2 linked regions of the Drosophila melanogaster genome follow. Changing the gene in region 1 together with any one later gene gives a genetic interaction. Each region holds a gene or a part of one and is shown on either strand. Other genes may lie near its edges.

Region 1 (11,445 bases):
ATTGATAAAATTATTGTTGTTGACCGTGGTTGGCTCTCTTCTGGCCAAAGGAGCCTCGATGGGCGATTAGCCCAAAGCCAAAAGGTTGCTGTTGCCGTTGCGGTGGCCCCAACTGACCATTGCGAAAGGGGTAAGGGGGCGAACCCGACCCCCTTTCGCATGATGATGAAAATCAGCGAGTGCCGCATGGAAAACGAACTGGGAATGTGTATGGTAATGCGGATTGGGGGACCTCGTTCTGGATGCTAGGTGGCCAAATGAAATTTATTTCAATTTCATTTGATATTAATTGCTAATGGCCTTAAGATTGAATTCCAATGGCCTGCCTTATTTGGTGGTGCCCAAGTGGAGGAGGCCAAACAAATCGGGCCAGCGACTTCTCACTCGCGTACTACGAGTATGTTGGTGGCTTGTTAGGATTGTGTTTTTGGAAGCCCCTTCGAGTGGCTGGTGGCGCCACCACAACTATTTTTGGGATACAAATAAGGTACCGACATGGGGTCTCGCCCGCACAAATCTCTGACAGTTGAACGCCGTTTGTCGTTTGTCGTAATTAGCAGGCAAATGGTTAACTTACGATACCTTTACCCTTCTCGTGCCTTCTCCTTCCTCTGGAACTGCATTGGCATTGGGCCGTTTTGACCATTTGTGGCCGAACTGTGCGAAAGTTCAGTAGAACTGACTTTCGAAATGCAAGCGGCAACCCACACGCTGATACAATTAAGCCAAACACATGTCGTCCCCGTCGGAGATAAGCCATTTATTAACTTTTCACAAGACCTCCAAATGATGCCATAATCTCCGCTTTCGGTTAGACATATGGGAGAGAAGCCACGGCTATCTGCAGCGCCGCAAGATGCAAACAGATAGAACGGAAGCTGAATCGCTTGGCTTCCTGCAGAAGGTGGGATGCCCTGAAATTGGGAACTTTACATAGGGAACTTTAAATATAATTTCAAGCAGCTATAGTATACCACAAAGCAATAATAAGGCTTTAAACAATGTATACAAGTTTAGCAATGAACCCATTACTAACCTACATATATTCCAAACCTGTATATTTATATGAATATACAAATTATAGTCGAAAATGGCACATAGATATCATTCCATTGGTCATCCGACTTGATGAAGCCGTAATGCTTTCAGTAAAGACGGTAATTTACTGCTGCTAACTGCGGCTACTGTTTCGCTTCGGGACCTCCAACGAGCGCCGCTTGACAAGATCCCAGGCAGCAAACAAGCCCAAAGGAGCTGAAGCTCGGCCAACAATTGAACTGCAATAAAACAATTTACCCAAAATAGCGCTCGGCCCAAGAGCAATCTGCTGGTTAACCTGGCATCAGACTCCCATGGCACTGAGCAAAATCAGGGCTTGAAACATGTTCCATCATATATGGAAATAAAAGAATAAGCCAGCGATGAGTTACCGGTGGAATTGGATAATATTCCAATGAAATTTTCCATATTAAGATGTTTAATGCTTGCTTTTAATAATGGACATTCAATAGAATATTGTTTCTTTTTACAATAATCGATACGAACTTTGTTAGGTAAATACTTCAGGAAAGTCTTTCAAATATGTATTTTCTTTTTAATAATAATACAGCTTCATATGCACATTGTCTATACTTTTCAAATACATGTATATCGCCCTTATTGCCGCAAATGACACCACAATTGTTTCCAGTGTGCGATTGGCGCTGCTACTGGACTCTGGGCAACATTTATCATTGAAATGTGGCGTGCGGCTTCTACGCAGTCGCCGCAGCAGCCGAGGATGCTTTGCGGCACCAAAACGAGCTCCCGAAACTCTCTTTTGACTTTGGCGGTTTGCTTTGCATGTATGCGGTGTGGCAGGGCCCAAAGGGGCGCAACGCGGCGGGGGGCGTGGCAGTTGGCCGATAAACTAGGCCCAGTCAGTCGCGTAAGTCAGGCGGCAGTCGAATGGGAATGGGCGCAGGAAAATCAATTCATTGGCCCTGAACAGATTTCCCTTTATCTCCGGCAGACCCAAGACCTTTCATCTCTCGACTGGTCGTCGGTCGGCTGATTTGCATATGTTTTGGTACTTTGGAACCTCGGTACTTCGTACGTATGTAGTTGCGACAAAGGCCCTCATAATTGCTTGATTTAGCGACCCATTCAAGGCGAAAAGTCGGCGCCAGCCGCATCTCAGTAACTTGGCTTCCAGGCTAGCACCCGGTGTAAATTGTCGTCCGCGAATGCTACGTGTGGTGCTGCCATTACACTTGTAAAATAGTTGGCCAATAATGGGAAAGCTATGGGGAAGCACAATAAAATACGATTCCGAATAAGTAACTTCGATCTCTGAACCTTATGGTTCCTACAATATACCTTTATAGATACTATATTTATTTTGTCCTTTCTTTCTCTGTTTTTCCAAACAGAAAGTAAGTCTTTTGAGTTCAACATCGAATTCTATATTTTGTATTCCTAAAAAACTTTTTTTTTTAATAGCAACTTACTAAAATCGTAATTTTAATCTCTGTGCAGATTCTTTCTGTGTTTTTTTTTTAGTGGTAGTGGGTGTCTTGTCGCTTAAATTGCCAAGCAATTCATAAGTGTCAACGCGTCTCATATGAACGATGGTAACAAACTTGAGCAAGGGGGAAATGCTGGAGCTGATTTATGAGTTTGCTCGGTTTCCCGAATGGGTTAAGTCACAAATAGAACAAGTTTAAGAGTTCAAGCCGAGATAATATTTTAATAAATCCAAAAAATCACTGTTTTTCATTCCGTACCTTAATCTCTCACTCTCGACTTGTATAACTTTTTTTCGAAATAAATGCACAAAATCGAGTATCCCTGTAGTAAAGAACGGTTTTTTTCAAAACATTCTCGTTCTCTTAAGCTTACTACTTTCCCATCCTGTTGATTTCCAACTGTTCTCGTCTCGGCATACGATCAAAATATTTGCATAAGCAGCGTCCTGAATTACAGTTTAAGCCAGTAAACTCAAGCCAACAGAGTGCAAAGGGCCAACACAGTGGTGAGCAGCGTCATGTGCTCGCTGCAAATACAGATACACAGATACAGATACACCGAACCTGAGGACTTAAAACCCACCGAAGACGACGACGACAGCAGGCACGCGCCCCGATCCCGAATCCAAAACCCGAAAGGCGATTCATGAACTCAGGTACTAAGGGAAGGCAAGAAATGAGCAACAGCAAGGGAAAAACAAAAAAAAAAATACGAAAAAGGACCCAAAAATGTGCAACTGTTGGGCGATCTCATATGATCGCGGTCGGGTGAATAACCCGGAGAGGTTTCTTTAAAGAATCTCGATCTAGTGGAGCTTAGTTTATAATTTTCGACAGGAAAAAGCTGCTGCTGCTGGGAGATGAAAGATCTTATCGTATCTAATATCTGTGCGCGGGTTCGATCAAATTACAGTTCCGGTCAAGATTGAGCATTTGGTTCCGCTTTTTGTTTCGGGGATGAAGACAATGCAGCAGGGGCAACCGTTAACCTTAAGTTAATGATTTGGCCGATGCCTTTGCTTGCTGGTTGCTGCCTGCGCTTCAAGTGCAGCATATGGCATTTTTACTCCTCTTGCTGCGGCTTCAGCACAACTGACGCAGGATACGCAGGATACCCGGCCTACCTACGATCTGGGTTTCGGATCGGCGGCTCACTTCCTATCCTCCACATGGGCCCGCCAATCTGCCCATATCTCGCCCTTCTCTCTCGAGTATGTAAAAAGATCAATCAAATATTGTGTATTCCCTCGCCGAGTTCGATTCTCCCTAGGTGGAATTCTACTCGTATCTAGATGCCCACTTGACTTGGGCTGTTTTTTTAGGCATTTATACCGTGTAATAATAGGGAATGGGGGTGCACAGGGTATCGTTGGGGTATGATGGGTGTAGCGAGCGTATGAGGGGAGTGATAAGAACTGGCCAAGAACGTGGCCAATTGATATGAAAATCGCTATACCTCACGTTTTCGGACGATGTTTTTTTTTTTTGAAACATTCTTTTATTTATCTTTATTAAACGTTAAATGGGATAAATTGAAGTGATTAACTTAAACTCCTTAAATTAAGGGATTCTTGTTAATAGTTCCGTACTTCGTGTTTTCTAGGTCATCTCCTAGTCCTATGCCCTTAGAGCCGAAACTCCTTTATTTTTTTCCGGTTGCTTAGCTGGCACATTTTTCCCCGACTGCCGCTGCTGGTGTGCACCTGCTTTTCGGGAACAGGACGCGCGTCTTTTGACCGCAATCGTTGCCAGGACTGGCCTGGAAAGCAAAACCAAATAGCGCTCTTACAAGCCAGGTCGCTTAACTGTTTAGCCTGACGCGCTTACATCGCAGGGGATCGCACTTATGGCTTTTGAGGACGCGACGAATTATCCTGCAGAGCGTGTGCCAAAAAAACAAGAAACCGCAGCCCGCTGCTTTACACAAATCGCAAAGGCAAAACGAATCCGAGCCCCACTCACTTCGTCCTGGCACGAAACCACTTTCGTTTATTTTAATTTGGCTTGCGGTCAAGGGGATCGGTGCTTTGGGGGATTGGGAATGGGAATGGGGACTGGGGAATTGGCAGCCAGCCTGCTGCAATCTGACAAGAGCCTGCTGCATTTAATAACTGTTTTCGTTTTTGCCGCTGTTTTCTTATGCCCTACAAAGAGGAGCCACCAGCTTAAGCAGAGGGCTTTTAAATATCTTTATAATCAATGCTATACAGCAAATTTATCTTTCATGATTTGTTGTAAACGCTCATTCTTTGGTGAGAAATCCAATAAATTCTTAAAACTCTTTATTCTTTTTTAGCCCTTAAGAGTTTTAAATCCTAAAGCGTATCATTTAAACATGTATAAGGAAGATCCATAACTCCTTTTTAGATTTAAGAACAAGCGTAAATTAGCATAACTTGGCTGGTTTTTAATAAACAACTTTTTCGCTTCATTAAATAAAAGCTACCCGCAAAAGGGGATTCACGAATCGGCTTAAAATAAGATGACTCCTGGTGCTTTTTTATATCCCAACGCGTCTTCCCGTGTCTGCAAGACGGAGCCCCCGAGTGCTCACGACTTGGTCGTGGTATAGGAGTCAATGGCAATCCCGTTTTGTGGTGCACGTGCCACAATTTGCAGCTTGCCACGAGATGTTCACCGGTCGTTCCAGCTCTTATCTCGCAAAACAACGCGCCTCGGACTTAATTAATTTTTATTTATGTTAACGAGGACTTTGCTTTTAGTTAAATCAAAGTATAGGGTTCAGATGCAGATCCTTTTCGACTCAAGTTGAACTTTTGGTTTTTGTATGCTAAAAAGGACGCTTTTGTTTGATTGAAGCCTAACTAATTTACCGAGAAACGTGGGTCTTTTTGATGAGATCTACCAGACTTCGAAATTCATACCTGTTCTTATGTAATAAGTTATTATTTAGTATAAGTTTCTTTATTGATATTTTAGATCAGTTCAATTGTCAATTTTTATTCGCCTAGCAAAGGATATTCTTAAAATCATAATTTATATAAATACAATTTTCTCCATTTGACATATTTTCTGAAAAAGTCAACAAAGCCCAAAAACAAAACAAAACGAAATGATTTTTGTTGTATTTTTTTTTATTAAATTTAATTTAATAATTCTGAATTCAAACCCGTACAATTCTGTACATCTGTAAAATTTTACATACATCATACGTTTTAACGTTTGCAGCGACATCTAGTGGTGGTCTGGATTTTCCAAGTTCAAATGTAGAGTTCTCTTGGTGTTTTCCGATTAGGTGATCCTCAAGTGATTATCAACCATTCTTATTGCAATGTATTTAAACAACTTTAAAGGTTTATTTCCTCTTAAAAATATGTGGTTAGAAAAACAACTAAAAAAGTTTAAGAGTTCAAGCCGAGATAATATTTTAATAAATCCAAAAAATCACTGCTTTTCATTCCGTACCTTAATCCCTCACTCTCGACTTGTATAACTTATTTTCGAAATACAATGCACAATATCACAGGCTATTTTCGATTAGTTTCAGTTCTTTTATTCCATATAGGGTTGGACATCATGCTCCATGCGAGCGGCCTCAGTTTCTGCACCCACGGCGCAGGCTAGTAGTGAGTTGACCGTCTGCTCCTCACCTGCCTTGTAGACGTATCCATTAGCCTTGTCGATGTGATTGCGCAAGCGGAGCATGCTGTCCGTGCTGAAGACGTCCAGCAGTTGGAACGAAACGAGAGCGTAGTCCTCCACCATGGAGCAGATGGCTGCATTCAGTTTTCGATACTTGCGCATGGCGGGATCATCGTCCAGTTTGTCCAGCAGATACTTGAGGTCCAGGACGTCCGTATAATAGTCCACGTTAAAGTGTAACTTGGTCTCGTGCTTCTTTAGCAGATCGGCCTTGGAAAGCACATTAACGTGGGGTAGACTCATCCGCAACATGGTGTTCAATGCCATCAGCAAAGTGGCAATGAATTTGGCAGGCTCCGAGCAGTAATGGGAATCTATAAGGTTAACGGTGACCAGGCTATATCTTTCACGCTCCAAACGCTCGAAAATCCGGGCCATAGCGTTGTGATGGGTATATAGCTCAACTTGGCCGGGACAGTCGAACAGGAAGTAGTTGTAAGTGGCGCTTAGTTTGCGCAGTGCCGGCAACAGCCAATCCTCCAAATGGTCGGCCAGATACTCAGCGCAGTGCATTAGAGCTCCGTTTGGTCCCAGCTTCAGGTGCTCCATGCAATCCTCCACAGTGATTAGCTCCATCACACTTAGCACCGGTTCGTAGGACATGTTTTCGTTGGCTGGATCCAGATTCACAACGCCCACCTGACGGCCCAGTTCGCGATAGAACTTAAGGGCCTCACCGCAATAGGTGGTTTTCCCAGAACCAGGAGGTCCTATGATTAGCTGTCCATAACGTGGATTCTCCACGGTCGCCTGCGTCGGAAATCTTTGCATCATTCTTGCGGAAAATGAAAAATATAAACAATGGTAGAGGTGGGGAACCACAGAGACCGATTAATTTATTTGGCGCAATTTATCGATATTTAGATAGTTTTTGAAAAATATACATTTTATTAAATTAGATAAAAATACAATTTTGATTATATATTTCCTTTTCAAATATAGGAAATTGAAAACTCAATCCCAAAAAAAAAAACAATTTTTTAGTGTATAATTAAAAACGGTAGCAATTAGTAGTTACTGTTAGTATAAAACACAGAACAATATATTTTTAATTTCCTTCCAGTTCACTTCGCTGTTAAAAAGGGGTAAACGCAGCGCAAAGTCGATATAAAGCAAAGAAAAAACCATCGATGACGACGATGGTGAAAACATCGATCTTAGCCCACCACTAATCGTCGGCGAACTTGAGTTTGGTGTTTTCATTTATCCGCGGAATTTCGCACTAATTAGTAAAGGCTTCAGGAGCACCGAGAAATCACCAGAATGGCACAACCCCAACCACCGGCGTACGAAAACAGTGAGTTGGAATCCCACAGAGATAAACTGGAGTCATGAATCCGATCCCACTCCGAATGTGATACGTAGAGAGGGGGATGAGTCAACAGGCGAAAAACGGTAAAAGCAGAAAGCAATCGCCGGAAGCACCGTGATTATGCCCATAAATGGGCATAGATGCATATGAAAGACCTTTTTAAGCAGTAAGAGGAGGCGCGTGTGGAGCCGTTGGAGCGACCCCGTTCCCGTTCGCTCCCCAAAAACGAAGCCGCACCCTATTTTCCACCCACTCCAATTTGCCGGCGTTATCTGAGTAGCAGCAGTCACAGCCCATTTCTAATCGAAATAATCGCTTAATTGCAGAAAACATCTACGCAACTCTGCCGCGCACCCAACGCGGCCAACCCATCGTTTTGGGTGCCGATCCCAAGGGCAAGAACTTCCTGTACACCAATGGAAACTCTGTGATCATCCGGAACATCGAGGTAAGCTGATATATGCTGCAGCCTGCTGCTCCGTTCCTGCCATAAATCCATGGCATTTACGTCCAAATGGTGTTTTATTTTTGGACAGGCTGCAGTTTCTGTTGCCAGTTTGTGTGTGCTTTCTGGCTTTCGGGCAGCTGTTCTATATTTATTTATATATATATGTACAGTATATAAGGCGCAAAACACAGATTCCCATTCCACAGGCCAACCGGCAAAACACAGACTGGCACATAGATACATTTCTTGTTTGCCGCCCACGCATCATCATTATGATGTTTTCATCTGGTCAAAGTGATTCTTCACAGCAGCTATGTGTTTGCCTATCTTTCACCCATTGAATCGGTATAAATTCAAAATATTTCCATGTTTCTTTGTCTTTTGTCCCGATAATCCCGCCACTTCTATGGTATCTTTAATGATCAAGAAATAAAATCTTCCGCCAAAAGATATTCAGGTTCTGGAAAATGAAATGTTAATGAAGGAAACATACATAACAAATTCAAAACCAAACACCTATGTTCATAATTAGGATCCCATTTACCATTAATTTGTTTTAATTTGCTAAAAGTGTCTCTAAAATATGTATGTATGCTTTTCCCTTTCTTCCGCACCATAGAATCCAGCCATTGCCGATGTCTACACGGAGCACTCGTGTGCAGTGAACGTGGCCAAGTACTCGCCCAGCGGATTTTATATTGCATCTGGTGGTAAGTCTCGCCCAGCAATTTCACACTTGGAGCACCCGGCTTTCGGCAACAGAGCATAAAAATCGTGACCACTATGAGTCACGCCACGGTCATGATTAGCATTTCCTTATTTGGAGCGGTTTCTTTATCTTATCTGCGGTTTTGAAGCGAGCAATGTTATTTATTTGGCTTTCTCCTCTTCTCACCAGACGCCTCCGGCAAGATTCGCATTTGGGACACGGTCAACAAGGAGCACCTGCTTAAAAATGAGTTCCAGCCCATTGCAGGACCCATCAAGGATATTAGCTGGTCGCCAGACAATCAGCGCATCGTTGCCGTGGGTGAAGGACGCGAACGTTTCGGTCATGTCTTTATGTCTGAAACCGGCACGTCTGTGGGCGAGATCAGTGGCCAGTCCAAGTCTATTAACTCGGCGGACTTCCGGCCAGCCAGGCCATTCCGCATTGTTACGGGTGAGTTCACATAATAGTCCCAAAATGCAATAAACTTACTTACACACACACACTTGTTATTACAGGCAGCGAAGACAATACTATCGCCGTGTTCGAGGGACCCCCGTTCAAGTTCAAGATGACCAAGCAGGATCACTCTCGCTTCGTCCAGGCTGTGCGCTACTCGCCCGATGGCAAATTCTTCGCCTCCGCCGGCTTTGATGGCAAAGTCTTTCTGTACGATGGCACCAGCTCTGAACTGGTGGGCGAATTTGGATCTCCTGCCCACAAGGGCGGCGTTTACGCATTGGCCTGGAAACCAGACAGCACCCAACTGCTAACCTGCTCCGGCGACAAGACGTGCCGCCTTTGGACAGTGGAGTCGCGCGAGCTGGTTAGCGAGTTTGTGATGGGCACCACTGTGGACGACCAGCAGGTGTCCTGCTTGTGGCAAGGAGACAACCTAATCACCGTCTCGCTTTCGGGCGTGATCACCTACCTCAATGTGGCGGATCCCTCGAAACCGCTGCGTGTGGTGAAGGGCCACAATAAGCCCATCACCGTGCTGGGACTGAGCGATGACCGCAGCACCATATACACGGGTAGCCACGATGGCGTGGTGACCAACTGGAACTCGGGCAGCGGCACCAACGATCGCATCACGGGCACTGGACACGGAAACCAGATCAACGGCATTGCCGCCTGGGGTGACTTTGTCTATACCTGTGGCATCGACGACAGCCTACGCCAGTTCAGCGTGGAGGGCAACTCCTACACGGACTATGTGGTGAAGCTTAACTGCCAGCCACGTGGCTTGGCCATTTTGCGCAACGAGAACATCATTGCACTTGCTTGCATCAAAGAGTTGACTCTCGTGCAGGACCAGAAGAAGATCTTTTCGCTGCCCATTAAGTACGAGGCTAGCTCGATTGCCGTTAATGCGGACACTTCCGATGTTGCTGTCGGCGGGGATGACCAAAAGTTGCACATCTACACCCTGAAGGGCGGAGTATTGGAGCCCAAAGTGGAGCTGGATCACTTGGGAGCTGTCACGGATGTTTCTTATTCGCCGGACTTGAAGTATTTGGTGGCTTGCGATGCCCATCGCAAGGTGGTGCTCTACTCAGTGGAGGAGTACAAGGTATTAAGGAATCATAAATGTCTTAATTCCATTACTAATCGAGTGTATTTTAAAAGCCTGCACACAACAAGGAGTGGGGCTTCCACAGTGCTCGCGTAAATACGGTGGCCTGGTCGCCCAACTCGCTGCTGGTTGCTAGTGGATCATTGGACACTACTATCATTATCTGGTCCGTGGCCAATCCGGCCAAACATACTATCATCAAGAGTAAGTATTTCAAAAAGAGTAGTAAGCTTTAAGCGATATCTGACATATTGTTTTCTGCCCACTCCAGATGCCCATCCGCAGTCGCAAATCACTCGGTTGGTCTGGCTGGACAATAACACTGTGATCTCCACCGGACAGGACTGCAACACCAAGGTGTGGCACGTGGAAAACATTTAAATGCGCCGGCCGTGAAGCATATTTTTATACTTATCCAGGGAGAGCAGCCAGCAGCGCCCTGGCTTCATTTCATTTAAGTGCAACAGTTTACATTTAGATATTTATGTCTTTTTCCCCGCCCTCCCCGCACACCTCATGTCATGTCTTTAATTTTAAGCCAAAAGTGTTTGCTAATCATCATATCATGGATATTCAACTACTTTGCCCCACTATCATTTTCGTATGTGTTTTTCGAACAATTTTTATACTACTGGAACTACGAACTACGAAAGGAAACACAAAGATATGTAAAGTACGCCAGCGTACATAAATTATTGTATTATGAAATGAAATATACTAGTTTTTGCATAGCTCGCCGATTACTTTTCTCCATTTGGTTGCGATCGGGAAAATTAGCTAAACACGCACAATTTCTTTGGCTTCTTAAACATTTATTCCTTTGAAAATTGTGTTTTTTTTTTTTTTTGGTTTGGTAGGTCTTCACCCTGTCTTTTTGTGTGCAAGTGTGTGTGCGTGTTCAGGTGTATAATTACAATATTTATAAAAACTTGGCTTAGATTACTAGAATGTGTGGACGTGTGCTTGTGAGAGAGCGTGAAAGCGAAAGGATTGTGTTTGTAACTTGCAGTTTGAGAGCCTCGGAGGTTGCTAAAGTTTCAGAAAAAATAAACGTAAATTGTGCTAAACGTAAGTACATAAATTAAGATAGCTAGAAAGGCGCTCGAGTGCAGAAGACGAAAAACGAATTGCGCTAATTATCACAGCCGGGTCTAAGACGTTGGTTTCGGTGGGACTAAAAGTTGACATATTCATATGTTGGGCACCTCATGAGTGGGTGATGAAAATTGG
Region 2 (8,718 bases), on another chromosome or scaffold:
CACACAACAAATGGAGAAAGGCTAACGAAGCCTTGATGCGACTATCAAACGTTTTTATAAAATCAATGGCATCGATTCCCGTGATTTTCGGATTATTACGCCAAATGCTTAAGAGACTCATCATTACGCTGTAGGTATCTGCAATGAGATTATATTTTATTTACGATAGCATGTTGTAAACATTGGCTGAACTCACCATCATGATTATCCTCACGGTATATGCCGTGCTCATTCATTTCATTATGATAATTCTGATTTACATCATCACGTGGCTGAAGTTGAGGTTGCACACAGTCTTCCACTTCAAGCGGTTCGGGCTGATAGATATGTGCCGCTTTATCCCTACATTTTGTAGCCTGCGATGGTCGCACAAATATCTCTTTAGAAAGATTCTCGGTAAACTCGCAGCCAAATATGGTTCTCAATGTGTTTTCTGCCTCGAATTCCTTTTCTTCATTACTGAGCTTAGGTCCGGAGTGGTTATGAAGAGCTAAAAAACTTACACTACATCAAAAAATTAAAAAGTTTTAAATAGCAAAATGTATAAGGCTCCTACTTATTATACAGTTTACAGAGAAGTTCCTTAGGGGGTTTCCGTAAATCCGAGGATTTTGGCACTATCACATTCCTTGAAAGGTATTCTTCCATATATTTCTGTCTATGCTTCACCAGCTGCTCCCGGGTGTATTCAATTCGTTTGTCTACTATTAGCTTTCTTTTCCGATTTTTCGGGTGGCTAAATGTTATTTCTCCAAAAGAATTTAAAACGGATGGCAACGACGGTTCACAAACTATCTGAGTTACTTCAGCTGGTTCAATGTTATGCGGAAAGATTTGGGTCATGATAGCATTGTCAGCTTGGAAAACATCGCAATCATCCAATCTGGGCATTTTATCCGGTAAGATGTCAGTTGGATCCTGAGCTATTGAGTGTCGCTTTACTATAATACAAAAAAATAGTTTATTACATTTTCAATTGAATTGAGAATTCTTACGTGAGTTCCGTGTGCCATCTTTGGGGTAAAGCTCTTGAAAAATGGTTAAGTCCGCGCCCTCGGCTTCGCCAAAACCATTTGATGGCATAATTAAGCTATGATCTTCGGGAAGTTCAATCTCTTCGGTGATTGTAATGGAATGATACGACTTTGACTGAGTGCAACTCCGGGGTTGTTCAATAGACTTTTTGCGAAAAATGAAATCATATAAGGAAGCAGTCCAACAGTATATTGACGACTAACCTCGTTCAGGTCCTCCACCACCTGTTGTGTGCACTCCGTTTGCCACATCTGGCATTCGGATAGCATCTTCTCGTAGTATTCATGTGAGAATTCATCCAATAGATCCGATTCCTGCAGTCTGGGACGTTTTGATACTGTTACTTTAGATTTCTTGGTGATCACCCGCTTTCCTTTGCGTTGGATTCGAATCTCTGATTTGTTGACCACTACGGATTTTGTTGTGGTGAGAACGTAATCCAAGTTGGTACGTGTACATTGGTCAAGTAATACCTTCGTGTCCCCTGTAAGAATTCGTGATTATATATCAATGTTACGTAATATTCGGACTAATACTTACCCAAAAGTAGATCCACTTGGCATCTAAAAATATCCGCAACTCCAAAAACCAAGCGGGAAATGTCCTTGAAAATAACATTTTGCCGGTTTCTTGCGGCCAAAACATTGGATCGTTTCTGGCGTTTTCTTAATGCATTTTCCTCAATTAATTCGGTGATTTGCTTGCTGAAATGTAGATAAATGTTGAAAACAATTGAATATAATGAAATGTTAAAAAAATTCATTATATTTAATATTTAATTACCAGCAGGCGACTACATCCACATCAGCGATCTCATTTCGATTAAGTTGGCCAAATGCCGATTTCCTCGGTTTGCGCCCTCCCGCTTTCCAGCAGGAATTAAGGATGTTGCTCTCATATAAATTCAAGCTCATTGTAACTACGACATTAAGCACATAGATTATAGTATTAACTATTTATAAGTTAGTGCTCTCTGTAACAACCCTAAAGTAACGGTACTTTTTTGACAGTCCATCAGCCACTAGAGAGGACAAACATGATCCAAATATCGTATACGAACGATTTTTACCTACTATAAAATAATGATAAGTTTTAAGTATATCTACAAAACATTTTTAAAAAAGAGCGTTCCTATTTCAATCTAAAAAATACATTTCAATTATTTTTAATAAATTCCATAAATAATACCAATGTTGCCGTAAAGAAAAAAGCTTAATGAAAAAAAAACCTTTAGCAAATATTGTTATTATTTTTTAATTTATCAGAAACGTCGTTTAACAACACTTCACATATTTTTGATGCAGCACAGAATATTATTTGGCGTTCAGTGAACGGTCTCACTGCAGGAACAACAAAACAAAACTCAGAATAAACGACAGTATTTAAACGATTCCTTAAGGACAAGTGATATTGCATTCCTACAATTAACTGCCAAAAATTCGGTAGTGCAGCACACTTTACAGATCGCATCCCTAACTTCATAGCTAAAGTTATGGTAGGAAGTGTATATAGGGTCGGAAATCAATTACCAAAATGAAAACATGACTAATAGAGTGTGGGCGTGTTTTTGTTTTTGTTTTTCAATCGACGATTGTTGTTAGCAGATAACTTTGGTGATTCCAATTCATTAATCAATTATATCGATTTCATACAGAGTGATAACCAGATATGCGACATAAGCAACGAAGTTCTGGAGGAATTGAAGAAGTTTCGATTCAGCAAGAGCAAAAATAATGCGGCTTTGATATGTAAGCCTTGATTGTCATGGTAACAGATGTGTGTAGTTTTTATGACCACTCCATTGTCCCTTGCAGTGAAAGTCGACCGGGAGAAGCAAACGGTGGTGCTGGACGAGTTCATCGACGATATTTCGGTGGACGAGCTGCAGGATACATTGCCAGGACACCAGCCCCGATATGTCATCTATACGTATAAAATGGTCCATGACGATCAGCGCATTTCGTACCCAATGTGCTTCATATTCTACACACCCAGGGATAGCCAGGTGGGAGTTTAGCAATGCTCAAATATATTCTATAATTCATAACTCTCTGTTTCAGATCGAATTGCAGATGATGTACGCCTGCACGAAGAGCGCTCTTCAGCGCGAAGTAGATCTCACACGCGTCTACGAGATACGCGAACTAGACGAACTCACCGAGGAGTGGCTGAAAGCCAAGCTCAAGTAGAGAGGTTTCGATCTCTGGGATCAATCAATCCGGGCCGTTGTCAAAAGCAATATTTTATGATAGTTCTCTGATTGATTTTTGAGCTTTTTATATACATATTCAAACTGGATTAAGCCGATACCAACGATGCATACCAATACCAAACAAACCAATATTGAGATACTACAATTTTTACCTACAGAAAACACAAATCAAGCTTAGTTTATACAACAATGACATTTTTATATCGACGACAAGTATGCGACAAGTACGCGCGGGGAGTTTTTAGTGATTTTAGTTCTTGCATTTAAGTAATAATCTTAATAGAAGCTGTGCTTGCCAAATTTCTACATGTATTTATTGTAAAGATATAAAAGCAAACATGACAAAATATTCCATTTTATATAGACAAACTAAATAAAAGTGTTCAATATCAAAACATAATCTAAAACAATAATTATGATTAAGATAAATCTTCGTAGCTATACTCTAATAATGTAGTCTTTGTGCCGCCGTGTGGTGCAGCATAGTGTAACGTCCTTCACTTGGCGTTGGCGGTGGAGGCGGCGGCGGTGCCAACATGTGAGCCATTGCAGCCATTCCCATTTGTGTGGCGGGATTCGGTGGGCCGAGATGATGCAGTGCATCGTGATGGTAGTGATGCGACATAGGTGGTGCAGGAGGCAACGGCAAATTCAGTAGATTATTATTCGCCGCATGCGTGCGAAAATGTAGACTTAGGCTGTCCGCCGTATCAAATGCCTTGTCGCAATCCGGACACTTGAAGTGGGCGTGATCGAGGGTGTCCAGACCCACGGGATCCGTGTCTATAGCCTCATCATCATCATCATCCACTATATCATGGTTTGTACTGGACTCCAGAGGATGAAGCTTCAATTTATGAGTCCGCATATCTCTTCGCCTGCTGAAAGCCTTGCCGCAGACATCGCAGTGATGGTTTTTGATGCCCGTATGGGTTATCATGTGCTTGGAGAGATCACCGGCGGTGTAGAAACCTTTCTGACATAGCGAGCATACCTGATCCCGCACTCCTAAATGAATCTTCTGGTGCGCCTGGAAATTGCCTAACGCGGAAAACTGCTTTGAGCAGATCTCACACTGAAAAGGCTTGTCGCCCGTGTGCGTTCTTTCGTGGACTTTAAGATTGTACTTTTGGGCGAATCTCTGGATACAAAAGCTGCATTGGTAGGGTTTCTCGCCAGTATGTGTTCTTATATGCTGTGTTAATTGGGCAATGCATTTGAAGCTTTTGTGGCACTCGTAGCAGGTGTGGGGCATCTTTGGCACAGGTTTGGGCCCCCGTTTTTTGTGCTCTTCTGGCGGCTTTCTTTGATAGCGCGACCGCCTCTTGCTCACTTTGGCATCCACGGGTTCCTCTTCATCGCTATCGCGCTGCGGAAGCAACGGCTTCTCCACAAAGTCCGTATTGGTGGCCGCATCCTGGCGCCAGGATTCCAGAATGCCCAGATATTGTCGCAGTCGGAGATCACTGTTTTCGCATTCCTGCTTGAAGTGGAAGGCCACCCCCAGCCGGTAAATACAGTTGTTGCAGATCACCGAAGGTAGGCCATCGGTTTTAAAAACCTAAAACAATTTCCATATGCCAATTAACATTGAAATATTTTGTTTTTAGAACCCACTCTTATTTTAGCGCATTGCATCAACATTACGGAGGGCATCATAGCAAAGTCTGTACTATATATCGAAGTTACAGGATGTAGTTCCTCCAGGCAAACTCTGCATATTTTGTGGATATTATAGTCCATGTTTTATTTCAATTTTATAGAAATCAACAAAAAAATTATTGAAAATTTTGCTCTAAACTCCTATCAGCTGATTGGGACCAGGGCTGCAACGGTACAGTCGTAACTCTAGCTTGTGAAACAAATCTATCATATATGATTAAATTTGTTTCGCGTGTTTAAAATGAATTTCATACTCAATGTGGATTCATTTCCGCAAATATGCAAAAGATATAGTAATATTTTGGTGAGCTACTTCAACTACTAATTACGTTGATAAGTGTTGATAACAATGATTACATAAATATTTAAAACCCACCTTTGTTTTACGAATTATATAAAAAATGCACATACATGTACCGCTAAATATTTATTGCATATTATCTGAATTATTTTCATTTATGAAATTTGGGTAAAAACTGTAGGAATAGGCAGGGCTGCACATGCGATACGGCGTTGCCACCTTCAACGAAAAAGTGTAACCTTTTTTCGTTTTTGCGCTGACGTGACGTGACAGTTGATTTGTTTGATTAAAATAACTAAGAGTAAAATCGCAGCCAAATCGATTTGCGCCACTAACCCGGAATCGATAGCCGGAAGCAAAGACGCAGCCGGAAAAGGAGAGGCATATAAGAAGAACGATCCTCGCACCGGTCGAGGAAAAGAGAGAGAGAGAGAGGGGCAGCGAGAGAGAGAGAGCGTGAGAAACTGGGAGCTGCACGGGTGAAATTTCGTGGTTTCGGGACCCCGACCACCTGAGCTCTCCACCCCCCGCTGATAATATACATATCCCCGCATATATTCCCCACTTTCAAGATGCTGTGTATACAATATTAGCGATTATCGAGACCAGGCAGCGCATGTGCCGGCATCCAAAAAGGCACAAATTGAATACTTTAACTATTGTAAACAAATTCTGGAGAGGAGGTGACCAAGGTCAAACAATCCGACGAATACGAATACCTGGCGGCTAGTCTCGTTTCACTCCACCGCAAAGTGCCAGTTAACCAGTGCCGCTTGCCATGGCCACAAGCAGCCAGCTGTTGCCCAATGGCAACTTGTCCAGGAATGGCAAGACCAAGACAGAGGACGGTGAGGAGGTGGAAGCCGTTGTTGGAGCTCGTGCAGCAGGTGCAGATGCCGGAGTAGCACTAACGGGACGACTAACAGGACACCCATCCACATCCGGAACGTTTATGAAACTGAAAACCTATCTCCTAGCTCTGCGTCCCTGGTCGCTGTCCGCCAGTCTGGTTCCAACGCTGCTCGGCTCAGCCCTGGCCTACCGCTCCCAGTGGGCGGAGGAGTTTTCGCTGGCCACCTTCTTTCTCACCGCCTTCACCGTGGTCACCGTCCACTGCGCCGGCAACGTAGTTAACACCTATTTCGACTTCATCAAGGGCATTGACAAGCAGAAAGCCGACGACCGCACGCTGGTGGATCACATACTCACCAAGGATGAGGTGAGCAATCGAACGGATGGATCAATCAAGCCAATAGAGTGCAGATCCGTCCATAGAGCATAGAGCCTACTCTTATCCTTCGGAAAGTAAAACTTCAAAAAAGTAAAATTCAAACATTTTTCGATTTTTCTGACGTGTTCACCAAAATTCCACATTTGCAAATACAGTATTCCGAAAAATCAAATTATATGCAAAGAAACTCGCGAGCACTTCTAAATCTTTAATGGCAAAACGTGATATTTAAATTCAAATTTGTCAGTGGCGAAGCAAAGATTCTCAAATTTTCTTTTTAAATTAACAAAAACAATTTTAAACACCTAAAATATTTGAAAATGCATTCAGTGTATGTGTGTACATTTCAGATGAACAGAAATTAAATTAGTTTTATATACGTTCAGAAAAAAACGTGCCGAAATCATAAACCATTTTGGAAGCGAAAACAATATCAAGAATTGGTAGCAATTAGCAAGGTACTAATTCAAATCAAGGGCAAATATATTAGAGAGTATTCAAACAATAATACTTTTAAATTTATAATTTTATCGAATTTCTATAGGACAATTTTTTCCGTTTTATAATGGAATTTAATTGGAATATGCATAAATTAATTATGACAGCATGACAGCAGATTTAATCCTTATCCGCAATTATAAATAATAAATATTTGTTAATTTGCAGGTGGTATCGCTGGGTGCCATTCTGTACATGGCTGGCTGTGGAGGATTTGTTTTGCTGGCTGTGCTCAGTCCGGCGAAAATGGAGCACCTGGCACTGATCTACTTCGGGGGATTGTCCTCGAGCTTCCTGTACACCGGAGGCATTGGTTTCAAGTACATCGCCCTGGGAGATCTGGTTATACTGATACTCTTTGGACCCATCTCGGTGCTATTCGCCTTCATGTCGCAAACAGGTCATTTGGACTGGACGACAATGGGCTATGCGATTCCTTTGGCTCTCAACACGGAGGCCATCCTGCACAGCAACAACACAAGGGATGCGGACAACGATCGCCGGGCTGGAATCGTAACGCTCGCCATTTTGATAGGCCGTACAGCATCGCACGTTCTGTATGCCATGCTGCTCTTTGCACCCTACTCATTGTTCTTCATCTTCGGTTTGAAGTACTCTCTGTGGTTCCTGCTGCCGCTGGTAACCCTGCCGCAAGCGTTCCAGATTGAGAAACGTTTCCGCAACGAACAGACGATGCATCTGGTGCCTCGGCAAACAGCCAAGCTGAACTTCTTTTTTGGCATCTTGTACGTGGTGGCCTGCTGTTGTGCCCATCAGTTGCCCACCTTTGGATTGCGAAGAAATTGATAGACGGGTTAAACGTACGGATCTGGCGGAAAATCTGAATCAGTGAGAACCTGGTGCAATGTTTTAGGGAATTTCATTAGGTTTTAGTCAATGTGAGTAACATAAAGGATGGGAGAATGAAGCTTTGTCAGCTTCTCACAGTTTGACGTTGCGCAAATTTCGAATGCTGCTAGTCGCCCGTTTGATTCTAAACTTTTGAACTGAACATATCCTAGCCCTAATGGGTCGATTAACTTGAGAGAAAACCTATGGTTAATGTAAGACATTTTGAAATACGGATTACAGTCCTAGTATCAGCTTAACAGTTTACTATTTCGTTTCCAAACGATAATCCATAGGCATTGTGCAAACATAAATGGAATTTAATCCAATTGGATAAGCTAAAAAGTCTCTAACCAAATGCATACTTAAAATAAATATTAACATTATTTGGCAAATATTTTGATAGTCAAATGTTAAGATCTGAAACATTTTATTTGCTTTCAAGTTGTTTAAACCAAAAGTATGATATTAGACAATTAATTTCTATGTCAAAAATTGCTTAAATTGCCCAAAGGTTTGGCGACCATCGACCTTAACCTATCCCACTCGCTTTTTATTTATTTCATATCGTCTCAATTTTAAGTCCTAACCAATCAATGTTATTAATAATAATCATACTCTTCCTCTCGCTCGTTGGGAATCACGGACCAAGAACGTTTTGTGCAGCAGCAACCAACCAATAATTGTAATTCAACTCACTTTTATATTATTCGAAACAATATATATATTTATATATATCACCACATTCACACGGGTGCAGATACTTAAGTTTCGCGAATCAAAATGCAGATTTACTTTATGAATAGAAGTGCTTGAAAATGCGGCTAAGTTGAAAGTTTTTTTTCGGCAATTGGCTGGCTTGCTTTGTGAGTTTTATATTATATAATATTTATAATATTATATACACGAACACGAGCATATATATATATA

The links.
Region 2: of flr (region 1) and GMF, changing one enhances a phenotype caused by changing the other (phenotypic enhancement), as found in Drosophila melanogaster (one study listed by BioGRID).

The regions. Positions count from the first base shown.
Region 1 is NT_037436.4:13,405,509-13,416,953, forward strand, and holds flr (flare), read left to right. Parts: upstream 1-7,334; 5' UTR 7,335-7,433; coding exon 7,434-7,467; intron 7,468-7,497; exon of another isoform or gene 7,498-7,543; coding exon of another isoform or gene 7,544-7,565; intron 7,566-7,808; coding exon 7,809-7,930; intron 7,931-8,549; coding exon 8,550-8,640; intron 8,641-8,828; coding exon 8,829-9,092; intron 9,093-9,157; coding exon 9,158-10,212; intron 10,213-10,268; coding exon 10,269-10,419; intron 10,420-10,486; coding exon 10,487-10,596; 3' UTR 10,597-10,945; downstream 10,946-11,445. Other genes in the region: CG10222 (uncharacterized protein), read right to left, coding at 6,021-6,944. UniProt on the Drosophila melanogaster protein: Induces disassembly of actin filaments in conjunction with ADF/cofilin family proteins. Together with GMF, promotes Arp2/3-nucleated actin filament array disassembly. Essential for organismal and cell viability.
Region 2 is NT_033779.5:16,296,583-16,305,300, reverse strand, and holds GMF (glia maturation factor), read left to right. Parts: upstream 1-2,346; 5' UTR 2,347-2,527; coding exon 2,528-2,530; intron 2,531-2,689; coding exon 2,690-2,783; intron 2,784-2,849; coding exon 2,850-3,040; intron 3,041-3,095; coding exon 3,096-3,224; 3' UTR 3,225-3,645; downstream 3,646-8,718. Other genes in the region: c(2)M (crossover suppressor on 2 of manheim), read right to left, coding at 4-138, 197-504, 557-941, 996-1,179, 1,239-1,519, 1,576-1,739, 1,819-1,949; CG17328 (uncharacterized protein), read right to left, coding at 3,693-4,808, 4,865-4,990; heix (heixuedian), read left to right, coding at 5,989-6,429, 7,108-7,746. UniProt on the Drosophila melanogaster protein: Inhibits Arp2/3-mediated actin nucleation. Together with flr, promotes Arp2/3-nucleated actin filament array disassembly. Promotes debranching. Regulates lamellipodial protrusion dynamics possibly by facilitating lamellipodial retraction.